Danio rerio: one gene and its partner. The protein of the gene in region 1 interacts with the protein of each later gene in a pairwise test. Links are inferred from orthologs where the notes say so. Each region holds a gene or a part of one and is shown in the gene's direction. Other genes may lie near its edges.

Region 1 (3,567 bases):
GTTCCGTTCACACCTCCACATGACATCCTGCACTGCTGGTCAATAATTCACATCTTGTAGAAATATGCTTATATGGCAAGCTGATTATATGATTCATTCATTTATTTTCTTTTCGACTTAGTCCCTTTATCAATACGTGGTCGCCACAGTGGAAGGAACCGCCAACTTATCTAGCACATGTTTTACGCAGCGGATGCCCTTCCAGCCGCAACCCATCTCTGGGAAACATCCATACACACTCATTCTTTCTCATACACTACGGACAATTTAGCCTAATTATCCAATTCACCTGTACCACATGTCTTTGGACTGTGGGGGAAACCGGAGCACCCAGAGGAAACCCACACGAACACAGGGAGAACATGCAAACTCCACACAGTATTGCCAACTGAGCCAGCCGAGGCTTGAACCAGCAACTTTCTTGCTGTAAGGCGACAGCACTACCTACTGCGCCACCGCGTTGCCCTGACTATATTATAAATTCTGCTAAATGACTAAATGTTATTTAAATGTACTTATTTTTCAGATACTTGCAGTGTCTGGTCTGATCTGTTCTGATGTCTGATCTGTTTTTTAAAAAATTATGTTAATAATTAAAATAATAGACATCCATTTGACCACCTCATACCATTGTGAATGCATAATCGCACCAATTAGTCTAACACCAGCAGATTTAGAGCACAGATAGACACCGTAAACGTTCACAAGACATGGAGAAAACAATGTGTTCTCATATAATAGGTGTTGGTTTCTAGATATTGCCTAAAAGTAGCGTAAGATTAGATGCATTATTTGTATAGTATGTCCTAAAATAAGCCGAAATACCTAATCAGGTCAGAATACAGTAAATAGCCTATCCCACAAATCACTTAAAACGCAAATTAATTTTATGAATAAATTAGATGTAATTCAAATGATGAACCCATACATTTTACTCACTGAAGCAGGAATTACGCAAACTAACATTACCAAAAATGTTGACTCAACCTAAAATTTTAAGGGAACAAACTTCAGGACATTTTTAGGTTTTGCTATGCTCAAAATGCTTCATTTACTCAAATGGATTACATTCACAGTACTCATTAGGGTTAGCTTAAATGGTTTGTTGCAATCGGTTTCAAATGGTTTGAGTTATTCTAACTTATTGGCTTTACAGTGTAAAAATAAGATACCTGTATCTAATGAGAAAGTATTATTCATTCATTTTCTTGTCGGCTTAGTCCCTTTATTAATCCAGGGTCGCCACAGCAGAATGAACCGCCAACTTATCCAGCAAGTTTTTACGCAGCGGATGCCCTTCCAGCCTGGGAAACATCCACACACATTCACACACACACTTACACACTACCCACAGCCTACCCAATTCACCTGTACCGCATGTCTTTGGTATGTGGGGGAAACCGGAGCACCCGGAAGAAACCCACACGAAGGCAGGGAGAACATGCAAACTCCACACAGAAATGCCAACTGAGCCGAGGTTCGAACCAGCGACCCAGCGACCTTCTTGCTGTGAGGCAACAGCACTACCTACTGCGCCAGTGTCTCGCCCAAGAAAGTATTAGTATTTATTAAATAAATTAGCTTAAAAACAGTAGTATTTCATTTTAAATATTAAATTTTAAAATGACTTTCTATATACTTCAACAAAAAGGGTTTTGCTGCTTCTACAAACTTACTTACTTAAAATGAGCTGAAAAATCACAATTCTTGAGTTTTTGGGGACAACTTAATTGTTTTATATTCAATCCGCCTAAATTTGTAAAATAACAAAGTTAATGTAATCGATTTGTGTTGGGACAACATGAAAGACTTGTGTGAAACCTAGTAAGATTTTGACAAAGACTTTTTTTACCCCATTGAACACAATATATGTTATTTTAATAAACTTTTTGGAACAGTAGCTTTTAATGTAGAGGTTCCTTTTCTGCTGGAGATACTGTTACTAAAAACTAAATACTTTTACTAAAAAAATAAAATAGTTGTGTAAAAATAAAAAACGAAAAAAATCTTTCATATACCTTAGGATTGGTATAATAGAAAACTTTGGTGTTTAAAACCTTGACTTTTTTTAAACTGCGGTTAACCTTGAAACCGGTTATCATCCTATGCCTAGTGGACCCCCAGCATTTTTTACAGTACAATGTAGTACATTAGTATTTGGCTAATGTTTCTGTCCATCAAATGAATAATTTAGATTGACATGAGATCTAAAATACACCTTCTCCATTTATCACACTGACAGATTCATCAGGCCCGTAAGCTGGTCTGCAGGAAGTGTAAGCGGCATGTAACTGAAGTCAGTGGACGTGTGGTCAGTGAAGGGACCCGCAAATACAGGCTCTGTGACGTTTGCATTCAGGAGAGCGGCTACAATGATTTAATCACAGATGAAACAGATGGAAATGAGGACAAGGAAGGCCTGTTGTTGGGTGTGGACGAGGACATGAGTGAAAACAGGCAAATTACATGGGTCATGGATGATGATGATCTAGCGGAAGATTCTGGAGCCGATCTCATAATCCAGGAAGTGGACGACAGCGACGAGGAAGCAAGTGGAAAGTGATGATAGATTTGTGTGTGATTGTGTGAATGGGCAGAGCTGCCTTATTGGCGGTTTAAGGTCTGTTGAAATTTCATAAGGGAATCTATGTGCGTTTTTGTACAAATAAAACACTTTGTCTTTTAAAAAAATATATATATAAAGTATTAAATATTACTGCTTTTATAAAAGTACAAGTATATTTCTGTAATTGAAAGTATATTTAGCTTATTTCAAGAAGGCTTTTATGGGCACGATGACAGCGTGATCAGTTATTGTTGATACAGAGCTGATCTAATGGAACTTCACTCTGTAATTCTGCCAGATTTCTTGCTTTGACTTCAGTTTTCAGACTTTAGTCAATGCCAGGGCTTACATATATGATTTTATGTTTTATGCTGCATGGAGTCCAGGCGACCTACTTTTTGTGATGTGTAACAGACTCATTTATTTATTTTCAACAAAACAAATTATCAGTCACAGGCCAAACATAAACAGCGTCTAAATAAAATATTGTATATATGAATGAATGTGTTTATGCTTCACTCTGGATGTGTCACCTTTTGCTATTTGTCTTGCTTTTGACATTCAATTTATTTGTGTTTCGATTTATTTGGACAAAAGAAAATATATTTTATACACATGCAATGTGCGTATGAATCGTCATTTACATTATACCCACATAAAAGAGGAGAGTACGTTCACACATTCCAACATTTAACACAAACCCTAGGAATTTTTCACTTTTTGAGCAAACATTGAGTTCCTTTCAGTGCATTGGGTATGGCAAGCTCTGTTAACATTAACTTTTAACATTAAGATAACAGTATCTTCATAGACAAATTATTATTTATTAGTGCATAATATACTGTAGCACAATATGATAGATTATATATTAATATTTAAAATGAGATCTAGTGTCTATTTAATAAGTAAAATAATCTTAGAAATTTAATGACTGAATATTATTATATAAAATTGTTCAAGTCATAAATGGAAAACATACTAGCCAAAAATGAATAGCTGAT
Region 2 (4,164 bases), on another chromosome or scaffold:
AAGTGGTGTTGTCATATTGGAGGTTTTGTAGTTAAGATGTCAGCTTTGAAGAAGTCCAGAAAATAATTTCAGACCACTTACCTTTTTTTCGTCCTCATCCATATCTGCTAAAAAGGTGAAATCATTATCTCCATTGGCCGAACTCTGTATAAAATAGAATATATAAATAAATATATATATATATATATATATATATATATATATATATATATATATATATATATATATATATATATATATATGTATATATTTGGTGATGGCAGCTTAAAGACGTCTCTCATATGGAGAATGATGTCACATGCATTGCTCAGGTGATTTTTTTCCACAGACTTCAAGAGTGTAAAGATCTTGATGGTTCTGTAGGTCTGAAGCAGCTAATATAAATTTACCATGATGAAGGGCAGAGAGTTGCTAAACAACAGAGAGGGGTCTGGATGCAGACCTGGTGCAGTGCAATCTGAGCTGGATCCAATGCTTTTTAATGTGCTCACCTAACCCCACACCTAACTCTACCCGTCACAGTGACGTCACTCATTCGATTGAGTGCATTGTGTCTAACACTGCATCGCTGAGTGATGCAATCTCAGCTTGCATCATAAAGGCTGCATACAGATACAATTGAAACAACTACTGAGAGATTTCAGCTGTCTGTGCTTTCACTGCCTCTTTACAGCTTCCTTTCTTCATGTGTTCCCTTTTCCCTGTCATTTCATTTTACCACACATAAATTAATTTGTTAACTAATTAGATTTTGCATAGATAGATTTCTTTTGTTGTTATCAACATCCCGTGATATTTTCAAGTCAACGCCACCTTTAGAAATATGTTTTCTACAAATGGTCACATCTAAAAAAAAACTACTTATTTTCCCTGCTGTAGCTATATAGATAATTAAAAATGACTAAAAACCACAAGCATCAAACACACATAGCCTACAGGAGCACTCCATAGGTGTGTAATGTATTTTTAATAATGTAAAACACTTATCAAATGGCCTGTTTTTGAATAAACTAAATGGAAAAAATCATGTTGTCAGAATAAAGAGGAAATGTATACATACCTTAAGTAGCAGTGCTAGCAAACAACCACACAGAACACAGATGTACACTCCTGACTTCATTTTCAGTCATAAGTGTTGGAGGTCTTGGAGAGGTTTCAGCAGTTTGTTTAGTATGTCAAACCTGACTTTCAGCTGGGAGGAGCCATGATCAAACTGATGGTCATTCACCTGCTAATGTTACATCCTGATCAAACTATTGCAGTCCATGCAGGGTTGGTTGACTTTAACTGACTCACGCATTGATTCAGTAGCTTTTGATTTGTAACCAAGACTCTCAAAATGTCAACACAAAAATATAGGCTACTTAAAAATACACAAATAGTGTCTTTGAATGTTGAAATATTTTATAACGTTTACACTGATTTCCCCATCAGTAATTCATCATTAAATAAATTTTAATTAATTTTTGGCAGTACAAAACTATTTATTATGCTGCCTGACATCACTAGTCTTTATCGTAACTGGTAAACACAGTTCAGTTATTCTTAACGCTACTGTAATATTAACGTGTATTTTATATCAGAGTTAGTTTTTTTGTTAATACCTTTACACTTTAAAGTTTTTCTTTTGATGTTGGCAAGTTTGGTACCTGGACAATATGACAATAATGTTTGCAAATTAATATTTTTGGCTTCACAAAGGTGTTGCGCCGCGCATGCTCGATTTATTGTCATAGCAACAGCACTGTATCCAACAACAGCGAGGCTGTGTGTCGGTTACACAGGTGAGTTTCTGACGTTTCTAACCGCTAGGTTTACTATTATTATGATTTACTGGTTCTAGATTCAAAACGCGACATTTTAATGAACTATTTGGACAATATTTTTCGTGCTGTATGTACAGGAATCATGAGTTCACATGGCTCTACAGTAAAGGTGTATATTCGCATCCGACCCACAGCCAGTTTTGCCCATGAGCTTATTGAATGCCTGCCAGACCAGCAGGTAAACACACTTGTCTTTTTTACAGTAAATACACCTCCTAGAGCTTATATAACAGCACAATGTATGCCAGTATATTTTTACAAATAATAAAATACAGTATCGATGACTATAACGGCCTAATACATTTATTATATTAAACTTTACAGAAACGTAAAAAAGATAAAGTGTAAATCGCTTACCTTAAAGTAAATTTTCTTAAATTACATTTCATAGATATATTGTATGTGGTAGCTATTTTGGTTTTCAATATAACATTAAAGCATGTTATTCCGTATACTTAGAGAAAAACATAAATGTCCCAAACGATAAAAGGTAGACAGATTATAATATAAAATATGTGACATTGAAGAGGAAAGAGGGGAAATTATTTAGATAGAAATTAAACTAGTGGATCTCTGTAAAACTTTTAAAGAAGGATTATTATTATTATAGTGGTGCGTAAATTATTATTTTACCTTCAGCAAGTCTTGAGATCACAGGTGAATAACACAGCACACATTATCTGAGCCCAACCACTGGAAACGTGTCCACATTAAAAAAAAGATTGTATGAAAGTAATATTTAAGACTGAGTGTCACTGTCCTTCTGTTTGTTTTTTCTGAGACTTTAAGAGTACGATCAAGGAAGGGTTCCAAGAAAGGAAAGAGAAATAATCATGTGAGGTTATTTCAGCTGAATGGGGTGCTGTATAATGTGTCACAAGAGGACCTGTATGATCGTGTTGCCCGGAGTGTAGTGCTGGGAGCATTCAAGGGCTACAATGGTTGGTCATTTGAAAACGTTTGGCATTTCCTGAAATCACAAACCAAGTTAAAACATTAAAAATAAAGTGCTTGGTAATTTTTTTGGTGTGTTTAGGTACAATAATGTGCTTTGGGCAAACCGGAGCAGGGAAAACTTACACAATGACTGGTGCTGCAGAGACTTACAAACAGAGAGGCATCATTCCTCGAGCCATACAAGAGGTGATTGATACCCATGATCAACAAGCACACGTTTATGATTTATGGGCTATAAACCATCTGTCAATTCCTTAGGTTTTCCAGGAAGTGGAACAGCGTGCAGATTATACCTTCTCTGTTCATCTTTCCTTTCTGGAAATCTATAATGAGACTATGGTAGACTTGCTCTCCAGCTTAAAGCAGGGAAAGGCTCCAGGTAGTGGTCTCTTCACTGTGGTCGAAGAACCAGGTGGCGGAGTGTCAGTTAAAGGCTTGTCTGTACATCTGGTTCACAATGAAGAAGAGGCTCTTAATCTGCTTTTCGAGGTGAGAGTCATGAGTTGTGCATGTCAACAGATGATCAGCTGATGTGATCAGCTTAATATACAGTATTGAATATAGTTGTTTCTTAGCCCTTACATTGTTGCCAGGGATTTTCAATCAGGTGTAAATCAGAACTCTGGACTAGCCATTACAATATTTCAATGTTTTATGCATAGATAATATACATTAGATATAGCATACAGACCCGGAGCATGCGTCAATAGAGTCGCCACAGTTGTACAGTGCTCCCAGGACAAATGTCATTCAACCGCACTAATCAAGACTAAAGCCGATCTGAAGATGCTGGACTTTAGCGCTGTGTAGGGGTGTAGTAATGAGCAAACAAAGAAAACAAAGTACAAAGGCAGAACATTTCATAGGTAAGATTTAGTTTTTTATGTTTTATATATAACAAACTTTTGTGCTCAACGTACCACTAACTCAAATACTAGGCTTATGTTAGTTTGATTGAATAAAATCAACAAACAATGTAAATGAAATATGACGAGATGCAGCGGTGCTAGAAATTATTGTCAGCTAAGAGAACGTCGTTCATAACAAATTCATTTACAAACAAATCAAATTTAACAGGTAGGGAAGATAATACATTTTCATGCACACAAACACATGCTCTTTATCAGGAATGTCCGTGCTGTCCCTTATCCATTTATATAGAAAAGTGATGTAAAATTATATCCTACATAATTAAAAAAAATTAGCATTTTGATCAACGGGACAACTACAGATCATCGATATATGTATATATGTGTATATATCTCTGGCTCTGGATGGCCAGTCCTCTTCTGCACCTTGGTCCAACATTAATTTCAAAGGAGCGCTACCCTGTACTAAATGCCGGCTCTATTGACACATTCCTTTTTCTGTTCACACAACA

The links. The genes of interacting proteins can lie anywhere in the genome.
Region 2: the proteins of zbtb8a (region 1) and kif9 interact in binary tests that used the Homo sapiens proteins (3 or more experiments, as listed by UniProt). The two-hybrid records come from large-scale screens. The link is inferred for Danio rerio from reciprocal best matches to the Homo sapiens genes ZBTB8A and KIF9.

Annotation. Positions count from the first base shown.
Region 1 is NC_133192.1:26,253,601-26,257,167, reverse strand, and holds the end of zbtb8a (zinc finger and BTB domain-containing protein 8A), read left to right. Parts: intron 1-2,242; coding exon 2,243-2,563; 3' UTR 2,564-3,065; downstream 3,066-3,567. UniProt on the Homo sapiens protein: May be involved in transcriptional regulation.
Region 2 is NC_133182.1:41,641,627-41,645,790, reverse strand, and holds the start of kif9 (kinesin-like protein KIF9), read left to right. Parts: upstream 1-1,347; 5' UTR 1,348-1,489; coding exon 1,490-1,524; intron 1,525-1,701; coding exon 1,702-1,784; intron 1,785-1,903; coding exon 1,904-2,004; intron 2,005-2,607; coding exon 2,608-2,767; intron 2,768-2,862; coding exon 2,863-2,969; intron 2,970-3,041; coding exon 3,042-3,272; intron 3,273-4,164. Other genes in the region: si:dkey-86l18.10 (uncharacterized protein LOC100535291 precursor), read right to left, coding at 82-144, 1,061-1,120. UniProt on the Homo sapiens protein: Essential for normal male fertility and for progressive motility of spermatozoa.